4 linked regions of the Drosophila melanogaster genome follow. The gene in region 3 interacts genetically with the main gene of each other region. Each region holds a gene or a part of one and is shown on either strand. Other genes may lie near its edges. The genes, in order: htl, tor, Ras85D and Src64B.

Region 1 (4,664 bases), 8.5 Mb from region 3:
TTGCGGTTCTGTTCTGTTTGGATGGTCGTTGCCTTTAGCGTCCCGCATCTTTTCGCTTTCAACGGCAGCCTTAATTTTCCACACATGCCAGCCCCGTCTGGCTTTGTATCTCAGTATCGGCGGTATCTCTCAGTTTGCACTGGGTATTACTCTCATCTTTAATTAAAACAGACACAGTTTCTCTCCGCGTTCTGGGTCTGATCTTTCCAGTCCGCATTCAACATTCAGCCCACATCTGGCGGACAAAAAAAAATTAAAGAAATTAAAAGCAACAAAAATAACGGCCGGCGGAGAAGACTACTGTGTTCAGTTGTCTCTGTTCTCCCGCCCCCGTCGCCACGCCCACAGTCAGAGTCAGAGCAGAGACAAGGGCAAATATTGTTTCGGCTTGCATTTGTTGCTCTATTGTTGACTGCAACATGTGGGCACATCATCAGCATCGAACATACACGAATGTACATATACGTATGTCTACCTAAGATCGTGCCACATGTGTTGCACAGACATTGTCGTCGATTCTCGAGGGGAAGTAGCGACTCCAGCGTCTAAATGATGGGGTTATCCGAAATGTTGACTTCCAGGAAGGCATCCGCCAAATCGGAAACTGCCAAAAATTGTATATATGTTTGGTATTCTATCTCCACCCTCCGACCTTCACCTCCATCGATAATGAGCGCGCAATTTTAGTATATGTATGTATTTCCTGTGCCGTCCAAAATCGCCCGATTTATAAACAAACACGTTCCGGAAAGTATTTGCAAAGTATACAAACATTGCACGGTATATGTACATTTCCCATCGAATTGAAATCGCCGGTCACTTGGCGCATCCATTTCAATCGCACGGGTTGACCCGCAATTGACGCACTTGGCGGTTGCCCCGCTGCCGCTCAGTGTATCCGATACCAAGTCGAGACCGGCACGAGTCTGTTATTTCGCACGGTTCGTCGGCAGGTTCCACCAGCCATCAGCCACCCAATGCCAATCCCATCCAGCCATCCATCCATCCATCCATCCCCACCCGTTCATCTAGTATATACCATTCAGTACGTGACGGCGAGAAGGTTGCATCCCATGGGGTAAACGAAAAGAAGCAGATGGAGCGAAAGGTCGATTGTGGCAAGTCGACTTTATCAAAAACGCGAAGCTACGTTAAATTATCACAAAGTATATGAGTAGTGAACTATTGATTCGATTTACATTTCAGAAATATAAAGCACGCAGCGATTTATATAAAGAACGTTCAACAGATTTAGTTGAAATAAATATGTGCTATTCTTAAATTGTTGCAAGCTTTACTTATATATTTGTAAATTTGCCATTTAGAGCTTTAAAATTTTATTAGTACTCACAAACATTTAGACAACAAAATCCATTATAAAAGTGCTGTAGCATTGATAAGCTTAAGCTATAATATATTATAATACCAAAAAATAACATTATTACTTTATTGTTGACATAAATCTATTTCTAAATCGAAATCTTTATTTGGTAAACACTGATTTTATGATAAACTCTCATGAAAACATTTAATATTATATAGCAAGCATATATTCTCGTGACATTTGTACTTTAACATCATAAAGATCAAAGGATCATACCGAAAGTCTGCGTGGATCCCACCTGAGATGATATGGGAACAATACCGGGAACTGGCCGCACAATTAGCTAAACAAACCTAACCTTAATTATCATTCATAAATAAATTGCAGAGAAGGGAGGCGAAAAGTAAGAAGCGTCTTCGGTTGTCGGCCAGCAAATTGAGTGATTGCCAAAGGCAACAAAACAGAAGCCGAATCACCTAGAAGATGGCATCGTAAAGCTAACCGACCGACAAAACAGATACCCGATAAATATATATATATACATATATATACACACAGATAGCTATATCTTTAGCTATATACTCACTCAGATATAGAGCAAGTCGGACAAAGAGCAGACAAGTTGAAATGTTTGTTTACGCGGCTAGAAAATATTGCATGTTCCTATACCGTCTACATTCTAGAATCTAGACTCTAGATGATACGATATATGCTATATGCTGTTGGTTAATAAACAAAATCCCATTCTAAGGGAGCGTTGGAATATAACAGAATTATGAGTTTGAAATATTTTCCCGAGCTCTGGGGCATCGGTTGGCTTGTAAAAGCAAATAAATAAATATAAATTAGAATGGGAACCCTGTGGAAAAGTGCTTTCAATTTGAGCATGTACCATAGCAGAACCGAATGGAATAAATAAAAAATAAAAAAAACAGATACTATGGGGAGCCCACAACTGTCCATATTCACTGTATTATTATGGGGTAGCCAGAGAATAGATAATTGAACGATTGACTACACACACACACAGCGGGATAAACGACACAAATTGCTTTGGAACCGAACCACTGCACATTTTACACTTTTTGGCCTTTGGGTTAAAAAGTCAAATTGCTGTGCGCGGTCAATCAAAAAGTGGATCAAACAAATGATTTGCGCAACTACGCAAAAAAAACCAAAAACAAAATAAACTAAATTAAACGATGCACGGTGTGTATTTTTAAAGACTTACCTCACAAAGTGCGTTGCTCCACGAACAAAAAAAAAAAAATGCCAAAAAGCTTCTTGCCAAATATCCACCAAAGTGTCTCTGCGTTGGAATTTCTCCTTGCCTTCGTCTAAATTGTAAGTCTTTCACTAAAAACACAATTGGGAAAGTTCACAGAATTCGAGAATGTTTCCACTTAAAATTCCAGAAATGTTTTAGTACGCATTTATATGGCACTTAGGCACTTAAACAGAACCAGAAACCGTTGCACACTTGACTCTGTTTTGTTTCTTTCCATCCACAAAATGTGTGCGTTTTCACCAAGAGGCATTACTAATAATTATTAGTATAATTATATTATATGGCGTTATTACGCGTTCAATCGATCGATCGTTCGCTCTAATTTTCGACGATTTTTCACCGATTTTCCAACGATTTTCCAACCGATTTTCCAACGATTTTCCTCCGATTTCGCCTACTGTAACGGCACGCAGTCCGATCGCAACTGAGTCAAAAAAAAGCAAGCGAACCGAACAGAACCGAGCCAGCTCTGCGAAATAAATCTCTTCAATTAAATGAGGGAACAAATGAAACGAATTCACATTTCCCCCATCAACTTCAACATGCTGGAGAACACATCTCTGCAATGTATTTTTGCGGCAGGCGCGTAAACAAATACAGAAAACACACAAAATTGAACGGAACGCCAGCCACACATTGTATAATCCGCAGCCAAAGAGAGGAAGGGTCGAAAAAGCGAGGGGTTGGGTATGCGGTATATGTATGTATGGTACTATATGGTATAGGGGCCCCTATACCCTATATATGGGGGACCCACACACACACACACACAAGTGTGTAGCTGAGTGGCGGCCTTCCCTTGGAAAGTGAAATGTAATTGAGTGCACAGACCGCACTCGTTCTAAAATTCGTTCAATTGAGTCGAATGGAATATCTCAAAGATATTCTAACGCACAATATGTTGCATAGTTTCGAGCGCAGCGAGGAAATTCATGAATTTCATTATGAGGGTGCAAAGAAGATGGGTAGTTGTCAAAAAGATTCCTTATATTCAGATCAATTATTTATGTAGTTATAATTGGTTTGATGGATCATGCTTTATTAAAAAGAATAGCTAACTTATCTTAGTCAGAATAGATCAGTCACTTGAATTTAATTATTATTATTTTTTAAAAAGATTTATGGCCTATGAGGGCCTAAGATTCTACTGACAAATTCTTTGCGCATTTCTTTGCGCTTCGTTTGAGGCGGAAAATGCGGAATGAGATTCATTAGCCAACACAATAGCTCGCTAAGTAAGTTAGCAGTTATTAATTATGAGCTACTTATAGCCAATGTCAAATGGCCAACAGACACATAAGAACCAGTAGCCAAGTGGCGATGGAAGAAAGCCCCTCTAATGAATGACACTCGTGGTGAAAAGGCCATCAAAGCACACACGCTGTGCGCCAAAGACAATGGCATCGTTTAGCGTTTGTCTCTATGGAGACACCAAAAATAACGAAAAGGGTTAGCCAAACAATGGACAATGACGCAGGGGGGATTTTGGCCGAAAATCGAAAACAATTAACGATTATTGACCATCAATTGTGGCCGACGGGACCCGTTCAGTGCCAAATGGCGTTACGCCTGACTGATTAATTGATGCTCCACGGCGGAATTGGGAGGGAGGATCCCCATGAGTGGTTAGCATAGTTTCAACAGTTAACAACCTCGTAAAGCCGCAGAGAGACCGGGGAAAGCACGGGTTAAAGACGGCCACCGATCAGTGTGTATGGTCATAATACTTAAATTTTATGCACTCCTGGGCAAGCCTCCTGGCTCCAACCTGGCTCCAAACCGGGCTCCTCTTGGCTACCCAAAAGTGCTTCTCCTCGAGGCTGCCGATCGCAGCTTCAGCTTCCGTATGGCTTTTCAATTTGGCCAGAACGAAACGCAAGTTGTTAGCGTTTCGAGCATAGAAATAAATATTGGGAAATTGGCTCAAAGTCTGGTTGGTCGAGCCTTTGGCCATTTGGCTCTGGGAATCTGCGAATGGGAAATGAAAAATCGGGAACGGTAACAGGCTTTTGGAGACACGATCTTCGAGTTGGGCGACACGATCTGCAGCCA
Region 2 (6,151 bases), on a different chromosome or scaffold from region 3:
ATCCATAATGGAGTGGGTTCTCTTGTGATTCGCGTAGACGTAGACCAAATAGATGACCATAATGGTGCGCCACAAAAGGCTTCCATAGAACTGGAAGGGAATGCTTTACTTTTCAAAATATTGAAGCACTGATGTATTTACCAGCACGGCAGCAACGAAGAAATAGGATCCAAAGGAGAGTATCATAAAGGATAGGATTAGGAAGGCCATGGCAAACGTCTGGCGACGCCGTTCCATGGGAACTCCTTTGGGAGCCCACTCGATTTTCATGATGTCAGAGCTCTCGAACTCGGAAAGTTGAACTACTTGGTAGCACGGTCCTCCGGCGACTGAAAAATGGAAATGTTCAATGTTTAGTTACCATTTCTTATCCTTATCAGTATCCGTCGGTGGCGCGAGTGCGTGGCTATTGGTTAGAGTTGTTAAAAAAATACCTTCGATTTAATGGCTATTCGCTTGGGGTGTTTAAAAATTCGAGCAATCAAGATAATGACTTGCTCTATATGGACGTCTGGCTAGAATGCCGATATGATATTATATGATATGATCTTATCATTGCCAACAACAGCCGGCTTTAACGTTTGTCCGATACTTGTGATCACATATATATAATTATTGTTTTGAAATTTCAATTGCAACTGGTTTGAATGCCTTTAGAAAGAGAACGAAACTGCTGTTGCACGACAACCTCCTCACTTTAATTGAATGGTGATAAAACTAACTGGGAGTTACTCGTATTGCTTTTGATCCGATCCGCTTTGGCCTAGTATCACAGGCTAATTATTTTAAACTTGTAGAGCTTTAATAAACTAGACGCTCCCATAGAAATTTATTATTAATGTTTACACACGTAATGGATCGTTATCGCGTTTGAGCAGCAGAACCGACGATGCGAGCGTACAACATTTAACTAAACTTGCGAGTGGCACTGAATGCTCGAGTTTCCCATGTGAGTGTTTCGAGTACTCGAATGCGATGCAACAATTGAGTCACCAATGTAATCGAGCGTTCTATACGAATAACCTGAATCAGAGGCAACTGAGGTCATGTGCATTTGCAAGTCGCTATAAGGAAATACCTGTATTGTCAGCTCTGTTCCAATTGAAATGGAATCAGGGAAAGTGTGATCACGCAAAAGCTACAATGTGGGCGAAATTAGCATAGTTGTTTTTTGGTTAATTTCGAATATTGGCGCCCAACATGGTTTCTAGGGATGGAAGCGACCAGCACTGCATTCTGATTTATCGGTTTGCTGCAATACAAGCTCTTTTGGCGCAACAGATCATAGAAGATTGAAATACAAACGTTGTTGGTGGTATCACAAATGAAAATTGCGAAGAGTTATCTGAAGTCAATGTTCTATGCTTATCCCAAGCCCTGGCGCTACTATGACGGAGTAGCGATCCAAATTTTTGCATTTCAAATGACCCCTAGTCCAATCCCATCCATACGATCAAGTACAATACGATGCAGTGAAGAGGTGAAAAACAAATCAAAACAAAATAGCGCAAAATATATTCAACGAGTCCGCCGCTTCTCATCATTCCTCCTTCTTCGTCGCTTTTTTACCATCGCATTTTTGGCCTCAGTTTCTCAGTTCTTTCTCAGTTCAGCAAGATAATCCGAGAAGGACGGATGGTATTGATCTCGAAAGTTGGAATCTAGAAACTAAGTATTCGAATTTGCTGTGTGTGTTATTGAGTTTTGTATCAAAGTGCGTGGTGGCAAAAGTGCAATAAACTTTAAGTCGGTTTTAAACAAATACACATTTCATTCCAACACACACACACCGACACACAACGAAGAACTAAAGAAGGGTTTCAAAAGCAGAACAAGGAAAATGCTTATTTTCTACGCGAAGTACGCATTTATCTTCTGGTTTTTCGTGGGAAGCAATCAAGGTGAAATGTTGCTAATGGACAAAATCTCTCACGATAAGACGCTTCTCAACGTCACCGCTTGCACCCAGAATTGTCTGGAAAAGGGCCAGATGGTATGTTTACACCCTTAGAATGTTGGAACACTCCATAACCAAAAGTGCATGCTTCTTTTCTCGACAGGATTTCCGAAGCTGTTTAAAGGACTGCAGGATTAATGGAACATTTCCCGGGGCTCTGCGCAAGGTGCAGGAAAACTACCAGATGAACATGATCTGCCGCACGGAGTCGGAAATCGTTTTCCAAATAGATTGGGTGCAGCACAGCAGGGGAACCGAGCCGGCTCCAAATGCCACCTACATAATCCGGGTGGATGCTGTCAAGGACGACAACAAAGAAACTGCGCTTTACCTGGTCAGATATTAGATGTAAACTCATTACTATTTACTTTAAAATACCATTTTATTTGATGAATTTCTAGAAAAAGATGTACTATGTAGTCATCAAGACCTAATGTTTCGTTTTACAAGTGGATCGCTCTTTTTCATCGACTTATTCGCTTGCAGTCTGATGACAACTTTCTCATCCTGCCGGGATTGGAGTCCAACTCTACCCACAACATCACCGCCCTGGCGATGCACGGAGATGGCAGCTACTCCTTGATAGCAAAGGACCAGACCTTCGCCACCCTCATCCGAGGCTATCAGCCCAGCAAAATGGGAGCGGTGAATCTGCTGCGGTTTGTCCCCCAACCAGACGACCTGCATCACATTGCTGCCGAAATCGAGTGGAAGCCATCGGCGGGTAAGTAGCTCCATCAGTTTAATCAATCAACGATCTACGAACCCTACTTTCATATTCCAGAGAGCAACTGCTATTTCGACATGGTGTCGTATTCAACCAACAGCGTGAATATGGACGAGCCACTGGAGGTGCAGTTCCGGGATGTGAGTATGCCATGACGCCCCTGCAATGCTAGAGCATAGCTAATCTTTTACTGCAGCGCAAAAAGCTGTACAGGCACACGGTGGACAACTTGGAGTTTGACAAACAGTATCACGTTGGCGTAAGAACGGTGAACATAATGAATCGACTGGAGAGCGATCTGCAGTGGCTGCCAATCGCTGTTCCAAGCTGCTTGGATTGGTATCCCTATAACTACACACTCTGCCGTAGGTTCCTCGAAAGTCCTATATAATAATAATATTAATAATAATAATATTGTTCCACCCTTTCATAGCACCCCATAAGCCAGAGAATCTTACTGTGACCCAGAAGCAGTATCTGCCAAATATTTTGGCCCTGAACATCACCTGGGCGCGTCCCAGATACCTGCCGGATAACTATACACTTCACATCTTTGATCTATTCAAAGGAGGTACGGAGCTAAACTATACACTTGACCAAAACAGGAGCCACTTCTATGTACCCAAGATCACGGTACTGGGTTCCCATTTCGAAGTACATTTGGTGGCCCAGTCGGCAGGCGGAAAAAACGTATCCGGTTTGACGTTGGACAAGGTTCATCGAGGTGTGTTGCTGAGCGGTACGTACGCTGAAGGAAATTAAATATTTAGACATCCATTTCCATCCATTGAACAGAGGGCAACATGGTCAAGTTGGTACTCTTTATTATCGTGCCCATATGCTGCATTTTGATGCTGTGCTCCCTGACGTTCTGCAGACGAAATCGTTCGGAGGTTCAGGCGCTGCAAATGGACGCTAAGGACGCGAAGGCCAGTGAATTTCATCTCTCCCTGATGGACAGCAGTGGCCTGCTGGTCACCCTCTCGGCCAACGAGAGTCTGGAAGTAATGGACGAGCTGGAGGTGGAGCCACACTCGGTGCTCCTTCAGGATGTCCTCGGCGAAGGAGCCTTTGGCTTGGTGCGACGTGGAGTTTACAAGAAACGCCAAGTGGCCGTCAAGTTGCTGAAAGGTTGTACCATTTGGTATTGAAGTTCTTGAATAATTCATGGAATTTTTGTTCTCACAGATGAACCAAACGACGAGGACGTATATGCGTTCAAGTGCGAAATTCAGATGCTCAAGGCCGTGGGCAAGCATCCAAATATTGTGGGTATCGTGGGATACTCCACTCGTTTTAGCAACCAGATGATGTTGCTAATTGAATACTGCAGCCTTGGAAGCCTGCAGAACTTTTTACGGTAAGTTATTTTTATACATATTGGAAAACAAGTGATGTATAGTAAAAAATGTATTACTTAGTGAGGAGTGGAAGTTCAGGCAGGAGCAAAATGCAATTGGACTTAAGAAGAACCTTGAACAGAACGTGGACAACCGACGGTTTAACCGACTCCCTAGAAATTCCATCCATGATCGCATAGAGGATATCAACAACTCGATGCTGTCCACTGTGGAAGAGGAGAGTGAATCGGATCAGACACACTCAAGTCGATGTGAGACCTACACCCTCACTCGAATAACCAATGCAGCCGACAACAAGGGCTATGGCCTGGAGGACATTGAAAACATCGGTGGGAGTTACATTCCCAAAACCGCTGAAGCTCCAAAGGATCGGCCAAAACGGAAGCTGAAGCCGCAGCCCAAGAAAGACTCGAAGCAGGATTTCAAATCGGACAACAAGAAGCGAATCTTTGAGAACAAGGAATACTTTGATTGCCTCGACTCATCGGATACCAAGCCCCGAATACCACTGAAATATGCAGATTTGCTAGACATCGCCCAACAGGTGGCGGTGGGAATGGTAGCCTACATCTACTCTATCCCTAAATGTAATTAAAAAGTGTAGCATGTATCATTTGCCATTTTAGGAATTTCTGGCCCAAAACAAAGTAGTGCATAGGGATCTGGCTGCCCGGAATGTTCTAATCTCCGTAGATCGCAGCATCAAGATAGCAGATTTTGGGTGGGTATCTCTGAAAGTTCAATGATTAGTTATATTGTGTTTTTTTTTTTAAGGCTGAGTCGAGATGTGTATCATGAGAACGTGTACCGAAAGTCCGGAGGAAGTGGCAAGCTGCCCATCAAGTGGCTCGCGCTGGAGTCCCTCACCCACCAGGTGTACACCAGTCAGAGCGATGTGTAAGTATATATTTTTGTTAAGTCCGAAGCGATTTTGTGGCTGATATCTTACCCTCTTAGTTGGTCCTTTGGTGTGCTGCTCTATGAGATCACCACTCTCGGTGGAATGCCATATCCGTCGGTGTCTCCCAGTGATCTCTTGCAGCTACTGCGACAAGGTCATCGGATGAAGCGACCGGAGGGATGTACGCAAGAAATGTGGGTATCAGTGCTTAGCGAAGTACATAATTGTTGATCACATTTGCTTAACTCAGGTTTTCCCTGATGGAAAGCTGCTGGAGCTCCGTGCCATCACACAGGCCAACATTTTCCGCCCTTAAACACAGACTTGGTGGCATGATTTTGGCCACTAACGATGTTCCAGAAAGGCTGAAACAACTGCAAGCTGCAACCGAGTCAAAATTAAAGTCATGTGACGGTCTAAACAGGTAAGTAATCTTTAAAAAGACAATTGTATACGTTACTTTCTTACCTTTTACAATTTAGTAAAGTGGAGCAAGTGCCATGCGAGGAAGAGCTATACCTAGAACCTTTGAATTAATAGTCATTGCTTCAAGATTATAATGAACGAGTGCAATACATTCTAAATTCGAGTTCCAATTCAGACAATGCTATGCGCCAGATAACCTTGCATAGCAATAAACATTAAAGCTAGCCTAAGAAAAATTTAATTTCTTTTTTATAAGAAAAACCAAGATATTTATAGAGTAAACTTCTAGCAGTGCCCTTTATGTCTCATAGAAACCGACCATTTCAAAATGTTTGTGCCTCCTTGCGGCTTAGGTTTCGAAAGAAGGTCGTTTATTTGGACCCCAATCAGCATCATTTTTGAAAATTCCAAATTGAAAGTCGGTCCAAGCTGGCTTGTTTACAGTGTTTCAATTCTACTTCTGGCCACCTCGATCGATGTGCATCCACTGCTGTCGCCTCCGCCGGACACCATGTCCACCGATTCCCTACAGCTGTCCACACTGCCCGGTGCGCACCATCTCCAGCTGCTGTCCACTGGGCAGTCGGCCCCTCGCCGAGAATCCTTTCATAAGAGGTCCGGATCGGGAGCCAACCCCCGATCCCTGCGACACCTTGCCACCGCGCTGGCTGGACCTCAATCGACGGGTCATATTTGCCTTGGCAAAAAGATTATGTCGATCTCCAGAGGCAGCTCATTATATTTTGCTTCGCCTGTTGTATGCCAACTATAGAAAAGTG
Region 3 (4,660 bases):
GGCAAAGGAGCAGCAGTAGCGGTTAATTGATTGATACTTGGAGCAATAATTTCCGCCGCCTGGCCGTCGTCGCCGAATGTAATCTTCTTGCCTCTAAAATCACCAATGATTGGTTTCTGCTGTTGCTTAGCCAGCCAGGAGGGATGACGATCATCAGTTGGCTTTCTCGCTTTGAACTCTGGCTGTCTTTCCGGTTTCTCCCGATATGTGTTCGACCGTCGATCCTCATTGCGGAACCTTTTGACTGGCGGCGGTGCCTGTTCCTCATCAGCTTCGCTGTCATTGTCCCCGGAAAGAACCACGGCGCTGGACAAGTAGGGCTGGCCTGATTCCGTAATGAAGAAGGGATCAACGACATGTGTGGGACGATTATTGTCAAGTTGTGGTTCTTCTTCATCGATACTTGGCTGCCTTTCTAATCGTGGCTTAGGCTTCTGCTCTCTGGCTGGTTTTTTCTCGAAGGGTTTTGGCTTAGATTCTTTCGGTCTGCCTTCTAGTTGTGGCTCTGCATTATTCTCCTTGATTGTATTTAAATTCTGCTTTTTGGAACTGAGCTTAGTTATCTCCGGGTTGATCTGCTCATCAAAAGCTTGTTTTTTCTGAAGGTTTCTTTCTTTTTTGGCTGGTGTTTTAGGTGTCTTTTCCTTTTTGACTTTGAGAACTGGAGAATTTTCAGTTTTTGCAAAAGACTGTGGTATTTCCTGATCATTTACTTTGCTGACTTGAAGAGTGGGCGTTTCCGCAGTTGCTCCATTAACATCTGCATCCACCACTTTGTTCTGCTCTAACCACTCCAGTCGGTTTTTGGTTTGGGCCTTCTGCTCCTTCAGCTCCTTGCGCTTCCTCTTCCGCTCCTCAGTGCGTTCTATTTTGGCCCTTCGCTTGCTCGTCTCTAGGATCTCCTCACGCCACTTGGCCTCCTTATCGGTGGTGCTCAGCTTCAAGGTTTCCACAAACTTGTCCACCAGTCCGTGCATCAATTTGTTTAGCCGCAGCATGGCAATGCCCAGTTCATCCGGCGTGGAGCGCTCGTTAGCAATCACCGCATTGGGATTTGTGCCCTCCTGCAGGAGCGACTGGCGTACCATATCCATATATTTTAGAGCCTTCAACTGGGCCAGGCATTCTGTGTTCTTGCGTAAACGAATCTTTTCCTTTTCACTGTCTGGATTTTTGGCCAGAGCCTCTTTTGTCTTTCGCAGCTTTTGTACGATTTTGGCGATGGTCTGGGCGCGTGCCTTTTGAATGACCTTCTTGTTGGATATCACCTGTAAAAGTTCTTTTTAATTAAAACTCTATAATTTTAAATAAAATCGTTTATTTACCAAATTATTGAATTTCAATCTGTCCATGCTGTTTTCGTTACAGTGGTGGTTGAAATAATAGACTCAGGCTTGAGTCCGTGCTAAGAAACGGTGATGCCAGCCCGTTGAACTTAAATTAACAATTATTAAAAGCAGAAAGCGTCTGCCAGTTTTTACAGAAAGCTGTATTGATCAAATCATTTATTAGTTTAAGCAAATTATAGAGAGTCGACTGAAGTGCATCCACCTCTTTAGATTAGTTTTCATATAGCAATCGCTATTGCAAGTCCATCGATGGTGCCGGCCAGAATGCAGCCATCGCTATCGATAGTGCCATCGGCTTGGTGCCAGCTCTAGTATCTTCACAGCTACGTACAGCCTAGATTTCATCTTCATTTCACATACGGATTTATTGTTTTCCTGCGCTGTTAATTGCAATTACCGCACGGCAATTAAATTGGTGCCATCGAGGAGTACCGCCTGTCGCACCGTTAGCCGCGAAAGTGACGTGAAACGTGCCCAGCAACTGCGCCGCGCGCGAGAAGAGAGAGGCAGAGTATTGATAGAGAGGAGCGGAGCGGAAAAACAAGGAGGAGCTAGCTGAAGAGGCAGCAACAAAGAAGGTCCGCAGCCCCGGCAGGCAAAAGAAAAATAATAAAGAAAAGGGCTAAAAACAACGCCGCCGAATTAGCAAATTCACCTAGTTAACAACTCGGCTATGGGGGAGACTAACTAATTTGCATTGAGCGAATGGGTTTTAATTTTAGTTTGAGTCATTGATCTCTTTTTCCCATTTTTTTTTGTGTTGCCCGTCTGGCTGTGTGCATGCAGTGGTGCGTGTGTGTTTGTGCGAGTAAGCGCCTAGTCACAGTGACTCAGTGACGTGCATTAATTCCTGCCTAATTATGCGTTTAATTTATTTTAATCAATCTTAATTAATAATTTACTCCACTTGCAGCCCATACACGCACAGTCACCCACACAAACACACGCAACAAGCGTACGGAGAGAGAGACTGCATCTGCGGGCGCTTCACAAGAGAGTAAGCATCGATCGCGAGAAAGAGACTGTTACTGTGACATTTGACTACGGCAAATCGAAAACGGACGCCACAGCCAAATGACGGAATACAAACTGGTCGTCGTTGGAGCCGGAGGCGTGGGCAAGTCCGCGCTCACCATCCAGCTAATCCAGAACCATTTCGTGGACGAGTACGACCCCACAATCGAGGACTCTTACCGAAAGCAAGTGGTTATCGGTGAGTTATATGTACTTAGATCTGGCAAAGCTAGGGCTGCACAGGTCCAAATACTCTAGAGATTTCTGCACCCTTTCGCTGGTTTGGTTTCCCGTTTATACTAGAAGAGACCTTAAGAAGTTGCGATATTCAAATGCATTTTATATTCCCCTGCAGATGGAGAGACCTGCCTGCTGGACATCCTGGACACCGCCGGCCAAGAGGAGTACTCGGCCATGCGGGATCAGTATATGCGGACTGGCGAGGGATTCCTGCTGGTCTTTGCCGTCAACAGTGCGAAGTCCTTCGAGGATATCGGCACCTACCGTGAGCAGATCAAGCGCGTAAAGGATGCCGAAGAGGTGCCCATGGTGCTGGTGGGCAACAAATGTGATCTGGCCTCGTGGAACGTTAACAACGAGCAGGCAAGAGAGGTGAGTACCGGCCTTCAGAGTTCCGAGCGAACATTCCGTTAATTATGGTTGTTCTCAGGTGGCCAAACAGTACGGCATTCCATACATTGAGACATCCGCCAAGACGCGCATGGGCGTGGACGATGCATTTTACACACTGGTGCGCGAAATCCGCAAGGACAAGGACAACAAGGGGCGGAGGGGCCGCAAAATGAACAAGCCGAATCGTAGATTTAAATGTAAAATGCTCTAAACGGCCACGCATTGGTTATTATTCACTTTTTATTTCTTCAAATGTCGCCTGTTTGTCTGTATGTGCGTCGGCGAATCGCCGATCGTCCTGGGCTCGATGGTTTGTCCATTTTGGACACACAATGCGAAAAACACACACATGTGGGAGCGTGTTGGTCGGTGCAATTGTCAGATAAAAGAAGAGAAATTGTAATTAATTTAAGTAACTAGAGTTTTATGTACGTCGAAATGATTTTGTGAATGTGTGTGTTTTGTGTCGTTTGAAAGGCTGCGAGGCGCCCTTTTAAGAGTATTAACAATAACAAGCAAACAAAAACGAACGAAGCAAATCGAAAATGAAAATGAATATGTACCTCTACATAAAAACTATGAATACTGTTGTAACTGCCTTGGTTCAGCTGCTATATCCGTTTGTTTTCAACCAGCACTTAACTTGATTCTATGTTGTTTGTACTTCAACAGATACTCCGTGCTTAAAACCGAAACGCGATGTAAACAAATATTGTGTATTTTTACAGCCCTGTTATCTATTGGTTTCAACCCGACAGTCATACATAAATGTAATCTTTTTTCGCACACACGCACGAGCAGAATTCCATTAGTATTCATCATTAGAGAACAAACAAGCAAAAGCCGATAAGCTCACAGCAACTTTCGCACAAACGAGTAAATTCGCTAGCCCCAAACTAGATTTATGTTCGGTTAAACACATATCTGTGGTGCTACGATGATGAAATTATAATCCGTATGAGTTCTTGAGATTTGCCTTTCTTTCTACTTACCATACTGACAGATCAATCGGAGAGAAAACAAACAGCCAATTAAATTTACATTATATAGTTTGCTTTAAGCTTTTTATACATACATACATACATTTAATATTTAATTTTTTGTATTAATTTTTGCCATACAAAAAGAAACGAAATAAATCGATTGTGTGTACTATTTATGAAAAGTGGTTTTAGTTATTCCATAGTTTTGCTTTTGTGGATTCTATTTTTCCATCTAAAGTCTCCTGTCTTGTTGAGCCAAATATTCTATTATTTGAATTTTTGCGTTGCGCGCGTAAATTGCAGTATGCCTACATTTCGATAATTCGAAGAGCATTTTCGAATATCGGCGATGTCTAGTCGATAGAAATCTGAGACACGTCCAAATATCAAACCATCGATGAATGTGCTGTCATCGTATCACTGTCAACTCTAACATAGACTTTTGTACGGTTTTCTATTGATCTCGGAAACTGTAGTTTGTCACAAGCGTTTGTTCATTGTATAAAATTTACTACGCCGAAAGCAGCAAAATAGAAATATTACCAGTATTAAGAGCACAGCCAACATCAAAAGGTAAGCCATAACGCTAGCATAGAAAAGAACATTTGGCGAAAAAGTCGATTGACGCGGTCGCCATTTTGTTTTCGCGGACGCCGCTCCGGGTGTGTACTACTACGAATA
Region 4 (4,849 bases), on a different chromosome or scaffold from region 3:
ATCAAAGGGAAAATCCACTTGAAATTTTCTCCACTCAGGCAATCATCTCTACATTAATTCTTTTTTGTCGCACTTGCCACGCACTTTCCACTTTTCCTCGCCTTCGCCGCTCTCCTCTCTTCACTTCCATCGCCTTTTCTCCTCCTTTCAGTTCTTATCAATAAAACGTTGCTGCTGTGCGCATTGTTTGCTGGCTAAGTGGCCAAACACGCACACATACACGCACAGCTGGCAGGGAAAGGAACAAAGGAGGAGCTAAAAGAGAGCGATGAACAATTGAGTTTTCTACTTGTTCCGCTTCTTCCGTCTCCACTTCTGTTGCTTTGACTACTTTTTATTCGTTTGGATTCTCCTTATTGCACCTCCCACGCTGTGTTATCCCCTTCATCCACCACCCGCTCCCCTTTTCGATTGACTCTATGCCTTTGTGGTCGTCCGTATCATGTAAAACGCTTTGTGTGCAAAATAGGAAATTTGAAGAAGAACAACAACAGCGAGCGAACTGCGAGCAAAATAGAGAAATGAAAAGATCTCAACAAGTTTGCCGTTAGTCGAGCTAAGCAGATTTACTTGTTTGAGAGCATTTTGCGATTGCCATTTTGCAATGATTTAGCAGGGGGTCAAAGACGAGGGGGCACTAAAATGGAGGGCGAAGGGAATGGGGCTTAGGAGCGGACAGCGGCCAAACAGCATAATTGCCCAGTTGCACTCAAATGGATCTCCATTGAAAACCCCCACTCACCAATTAAGGGTTAAAGAGCAACAGACTCCAGAAGAAGCGGCCATAAATCTGTACAGTGATAAACGGCTATGATTTTCAACGGCCAACATAAAGGTCACAATCAGATAAGATTTGTGATTCGGATACGTACACACACATATTTATATTAAGGTGTTTAAATGAGCTCACCAAATTCGAGTATCAATACACCTTAATTAATCTTAAAGAATCAAATCGAGTTCTGACGAAGTAACGCTCTCAGGACTGGAATTTCTCTGCACTTCCTGAAATTAAGTTTCCTGTTTCGTTTTTAGTTACCTTTAAGCGATAGCCACTGTACACAAAAAATGTGAAGCAAAGACAAACTATTTGCGGTCTTTATCAGCGGCTGGCCACAAAAAGTAAAAGGAGAAAAAAGGAAAGACAACTGAGGGAAAAAGGAAAGAAGTAGCAAAAACAGAAAACAGACGGCAGCAATGTTAATTGAAGGGGTTTAAATTTTTGGAGTGAGGGTGAAACTTTACTGCAACAGATAAGCTACAAATGTACAAAAAAAAAGAAACGAACAAATAAAAAAAATAATAAAAACAAATTTTGTGGCTTGAACTTCAAAGCACATGGAGCGATTTAGAGTAGAAGGGAAGAGGAGGGGTTAATAAACAAGCCACCAAAAGGTAAATAAATAAGCACAAAATGCCGAAAATAGCGCACAAGGGATAAACCAGATGGAAAGAGCGAGAGGAAGAGAGAGAGAAGGAGCAGCTGCTGCGCCGACGCCTGCTGCTCTTGAGCTTCTTCTTTCCATCTCCCTTCCCCAACCCCATTCACTCGTCATCCAATGGCTCTCCACAAATTGGAAGCAATTACAATAGCAGCAACAACAAATGCTCTTTGACTTTTTACAGCAGCCGGAGCAATAACTAAATACGGTAGACCGTCGATAAAGTGAACCAAACACAATTTAGTGGTTGCAAATAAATTTTTAGAACCAAATTATCATAAAGCTTGAAATGTTTTTTTTTTTTCAAATTTACTCCAATTGGGTATTTTTTTAAGCGCAAAGAAGCCTGAAGAAATGGTTAGTATGTGTCGAAATATAACAAACAACAAGTCTTAAGATTCCTTAAGTTAAGCTTTATTCCATTTCTTCATTATTTTTTCATCTTTCGACTTTTCACTGTACACATTATCAGCCACAGAAGCATAAATAGAAATGCAGCGGGAGAGCAAATCTAGCACTCTTTTTTTTAGTTTTTGTGTTTACTTATTTGCGTTCATTGGCTTCTCTTCCTAACGGCACTTCGGGCCAAGGAGGTGCGAATGAAAAGGAGCTATAATCCGGTTTTATATCGCACTTACCTTTTTTAATTAGAATAAATCAAAACTTTGCTGCGGATTCCGATTCTCTTTATTTGCTATCAAAAGCAAAGCGGACTTTACAGTTACGCCTGTTAAAGTTGTTGTTTTTACTGCACGGTCTGCGGGCCAAATAAAAACAACAAATACTATATTTTTGCTGTTTACTTTACGCCGAACTTCGACGCTAATTGGAAAAAGAGATGCGGGAAGGAGAGAGAGCAATGAAAACTATAATTAAACGCCAGCAAAAAAAGGTCTTAAATATCCTGCGGGCACAGCAACAACAACAGAGAAAAATACAGGAGGAAAACCAAGAGAAAGAAGGGGAGAAGTTAACATAAAGTAACAGAAAGTTGCGAAGGAGAGGCGTTGGTCTCCGAGGGGGAAAGGCATAGGAAAAGACTCTTAAGGGAAAAAGAGAAAAGTCGGAAAGAGAAAAGCTGCGCAGGATATTTTAGCCGCCTATGAAAAATGTTAATTTTGTTTTAAATGTTCACTGCGGGTTTCATATGTTTTTTCTTGCATTATTGGCCACTTCGCTTTGTCACTTTACTTCGGTTTTAATTTTTCCACTTCTTCATTCGCCCAGTGAGTGTGTGCGTGCGAGGGAGATGGAGCGAGAGAGCGTGTTTGTGTTTCCACTGCAACTCCATTCTTCTTTCTCTTTTTTCACACACACACACAGGGCACACACGCACACTTGCACATGGGGGAGTTGGAAACTTACGCGTCGCCGTTTTATTAATTTTATTCAATTAACAATCGCCTCTAATTCAGCAACTCCAAAACACTACAAAATCTCGTTGTACTTGAGCACTATTGTTTGTCGATAAGAAGCCGCCGAAAAACGCCGACCGAGGAGGAAAATCACCCGCGCTGGAAAATCGCGTCCGAGTCGTTCAACGGTGAATTTTAGAGTGAGAAGGAAAATCGTGGGAAACTGCGGTGGATTTTAGAGCGAGATGGGTGATGCTCTGAAAGAGAGAGAGGGAATGCACCCTCTGGCGATGGGCCAAGTTCGATATTAGCATGGATTCCTATCGATTAATCGACTTAACATTATTTACCCCGGACTACAACCTATTACTTCTGTGTTTTTGTTTTTCTTAAATTATAATGAATCATTTATATTTGTATAGAAAATATTGAAATCAATTAGTTTATTCGAATGCTTAAACTTAAATGTTTTCCAACAACATCTCTAGTTCCAGCTTCAGACTCTGCAACGTGATCTTAGCCAATAAACTTTGCTTTATAAACTTATAATTGATCCTTGCTATTTTTCCAAAAAATATGTCGTGATATTTGATAATTTTTGATAAGTACATAGGTCTGATTGTTTATATATCTAATAAAAAATGACCACTCTGTATGAAGAGGGTAATCGTATTTCATATGTAAATTTATTAAATATATTTCTTTAATAAATAATTAAATATATTTGTTTGGTATTTTCGGTATTCATGCAGTTAGTATTAAAAGTATATTCTGCAGAGCCGGGAAGTGTGGATTTAAAAAAGTCCGCGGTCACACTGCCCATCTGCAGAGGTTTCCTCTTCGCGAATTTGTCTTGTGCGCTCCGATTTTGGCTATATAGTTGCGCCAAAGTGCCAAAAATCGGACCGGCACCAAAGTAAACCATCTTCTGAGCTCGCAAGTTCATCCGATCGACGAAGGATAGAAAAACATCGACTTTAAGGGGATTTAAGACCCGCCAACAGCACCGCAAAATGCAGTCTCACAGCAAAAAGCGCGTTTGTTACTACTACGACAGTAAGTTTTGAGCATTTAAATGGAAGTAAAAGGCCTACTAGATGGGTAATTTGTGTTTACAAAGTGCCAGCTAGGGTTACCATGTCGACTTTGTGTTTTTTCCGCATCCACTTAGCATCAGATGATAGCATTTTTGCAAATTTCAAGTTTTACGGCGACTGTACGAGCGCGTTCCGGTCCACAGCGCACTTTTTCCATACGACCGCAGTGCGTTTGTATGCGTTTGTGTGTGTATGTACCTGATGTCTATCTTCCTCTTCTGTGTGTTTTTGTTGCTTTTTCGTTCGGGGCGAAAGTGCTACTACTGCGGTCGTTCGGAAAAAGTGCTGCTCTCAGGCAGACGCCTCGCCGACAGTGGCCTTAAAATTTGTATTCCACATAGCGTGGCAAATAATTACTTTTTCAACGTGCTCATAATTGCGATTTTTGATCCATAGGCGACATTGGCAACTACTACTATGGCCAGGGTCATCCCATGAAGCCCCATCGCATACGCATGACCCACAACCTGCTGCTCAACTATGGGCTCTATCGAAAAATGGAAATATACGTGAGTTACTTTATTAATATGTGATGATAGATATATATATATATATGATAGATTTAAACGCGAATTTCTCTATTCTAGCGTCCCCATAAAGCCACTGCCGATGAGATGACCAAGTTCCACTCGGACGAGTACGTCCGGTTCTTGCGATCCATTCGGCCGGACAACATGTCGGAGTACAACAAGCAGATGCAGCGTTTCAATGTCGGCGAAGATTGTCCCGTCTTCGATGGACTATACGAGTTTTGCCAACTCTCCGCCGGAGGATCCGTAGCTGCGGCCGTAAAACTGAATAAGCAAGCCTCGGAGATCTGCATCAATTGGGGCGGTGGGCTGCATCACGCCAAAAAATCGGAAGCCTCGGGCTTCTGCTACGTCAACGACATTGTTCTGGGAATTCTGGAACTGCTTAAATACCATCAGCGTGTTCTCTACATAGATATAGACGT

What was found.
Region 1: of Ras85D (region 3) and htl, changing one suppresses a phenotype caused by changing the other (phenotypic suppression), as found in Drosophila melanogaster (4 studies listed by BioGRID).
Region 2: of Ras85D (region 3) and tor, changing one suppresses a phenotype caused by changing the other (phenotypic suppression), as found in Drosophila melanogaster (3 studies listed by BioGRID).
Region 4: of Ras85D (region 3) and Src64B, changing one suppresses a phenotype caused by changing the other (phenotypic suppression), as found in Drosophila melanogaster (3 studies listed by BioGRID).

The regions. Positions count from the first base shown.
Region 1 is NT_033777.3:18,049,947-18,054,610, forward strand, and holds the start of htl (heartless), read right to left. Parts: upstream 3,039-4,664; 5' UTR 2,556-3,038; intron 1-2,555. UniProt on the Drosophila melanogaster protein: May be required for patterning of muscle precursor cells. May be essential for generation of mesodermal and endodermal layers, invaginations of various types of cells and CNS formation.
Region 2 is NT_033778.4:7,704,635-7,710,785, reverse strand, and holds tor (torso), read left to right. Parts: upstream 1-1,601; 5' UTR 1,602-1,840; coding exon 1,841-1,993; intron 1,994-2,060; coding exon 2,061-2,291; intron 2,292-2,443; coding exon 2,444-2,681; intron 2,682-2,741; coding exon 2,742-2,824; intron 2,825-2,880; coding exon 2,881-3,049; intron 3,050-3,117; coding exon 3,118-3,423; intron 3,424-3,479; coding exon 3,480-3,815; intron 3,816-3,872; coding exon 3,873-4,044; intron 4,045-4,105; coding exon 4,106-4,604; intron 4,605-4,671; coding exon 4,672-4,766; intron 4,767-4,819; coding exon 4,820-4,942; intron 4,943-5,002; coding exon 5,003-5,140; intron 5,141-5,196; coding exon 5,197-5,370; intron 5,371-5,428; coding exon 5,429-5,483; 3' UTR 5,484-5,603; downstream 5,604-6,151. Other genes in the region: CG1941 (uncharacterized protein), read right to left, coding at 1-90, 142-270; CG34216 (uncharacterized protein), read left to right, coding at 5,849-6,151. UniProt on the Drosophila melanogaster protein: Probable receptor tyrosine kinase which is required for determination of anterior and posterior terminal structures in the embryo.
Region 3 is NT_033777.3:9,510,055-9,514,714, reverse strand, and holds Ras85D (Ras oncogene at 85D), read left to right. Parts: upstream 1-1,647; 5' UTR 1,648-1,927; intron 1,928-2,262; 5' UTR 2,263-2,423; coding exon 2,424-2,562; intron 2,563-2,718; coding exon 2,719-2,975; intron 2,976-3,033; coding exon 3,034-3,207; 3' UTR 3,208-4,154; downstream 4,155-4,660. Other genes in the region: Rlb1, read right to left, coding at 1-1,268, 1,326-1,352. UniProt on the Drosophila melanogaster protein: Ras proteins bind GDP/GTP and possess intrinsic GTPase activity. Plays a role in eye development by regulating cell growth, survival of postmitotic ommatidial cells and differentiation of photoreceptor cells.
Region 4 is NT_037436.4:4,623,130-4,627,978, forward strand, and holds the start of Src64B (Src oncogene at 64B), read right to left. Parts: upstream 3,004-4,849; 5' UTR 2,808-3,003; exon of another isoform or gene 2,634-2,807; intron 2,265-2,633; exon of another isoform or gene 2,200-2,264; 5' UTR 2,081-2,199; intron 1-2,080. Other genes in the region: HDAC1 (histone deacetylase 1), read left to right, coding at 3,811-3,853, 4,291-4,403, 4,482-4,849. UniProt on the Drosophila melanogaster protein: Tyrosine-protein kinase that may play a role in the development of neural tissue and smooth muscle. May contribute to tyrosine phosphorylation of Dscam1, a cell surface receptor involved in targeting of growing axons during eye morphogenesis.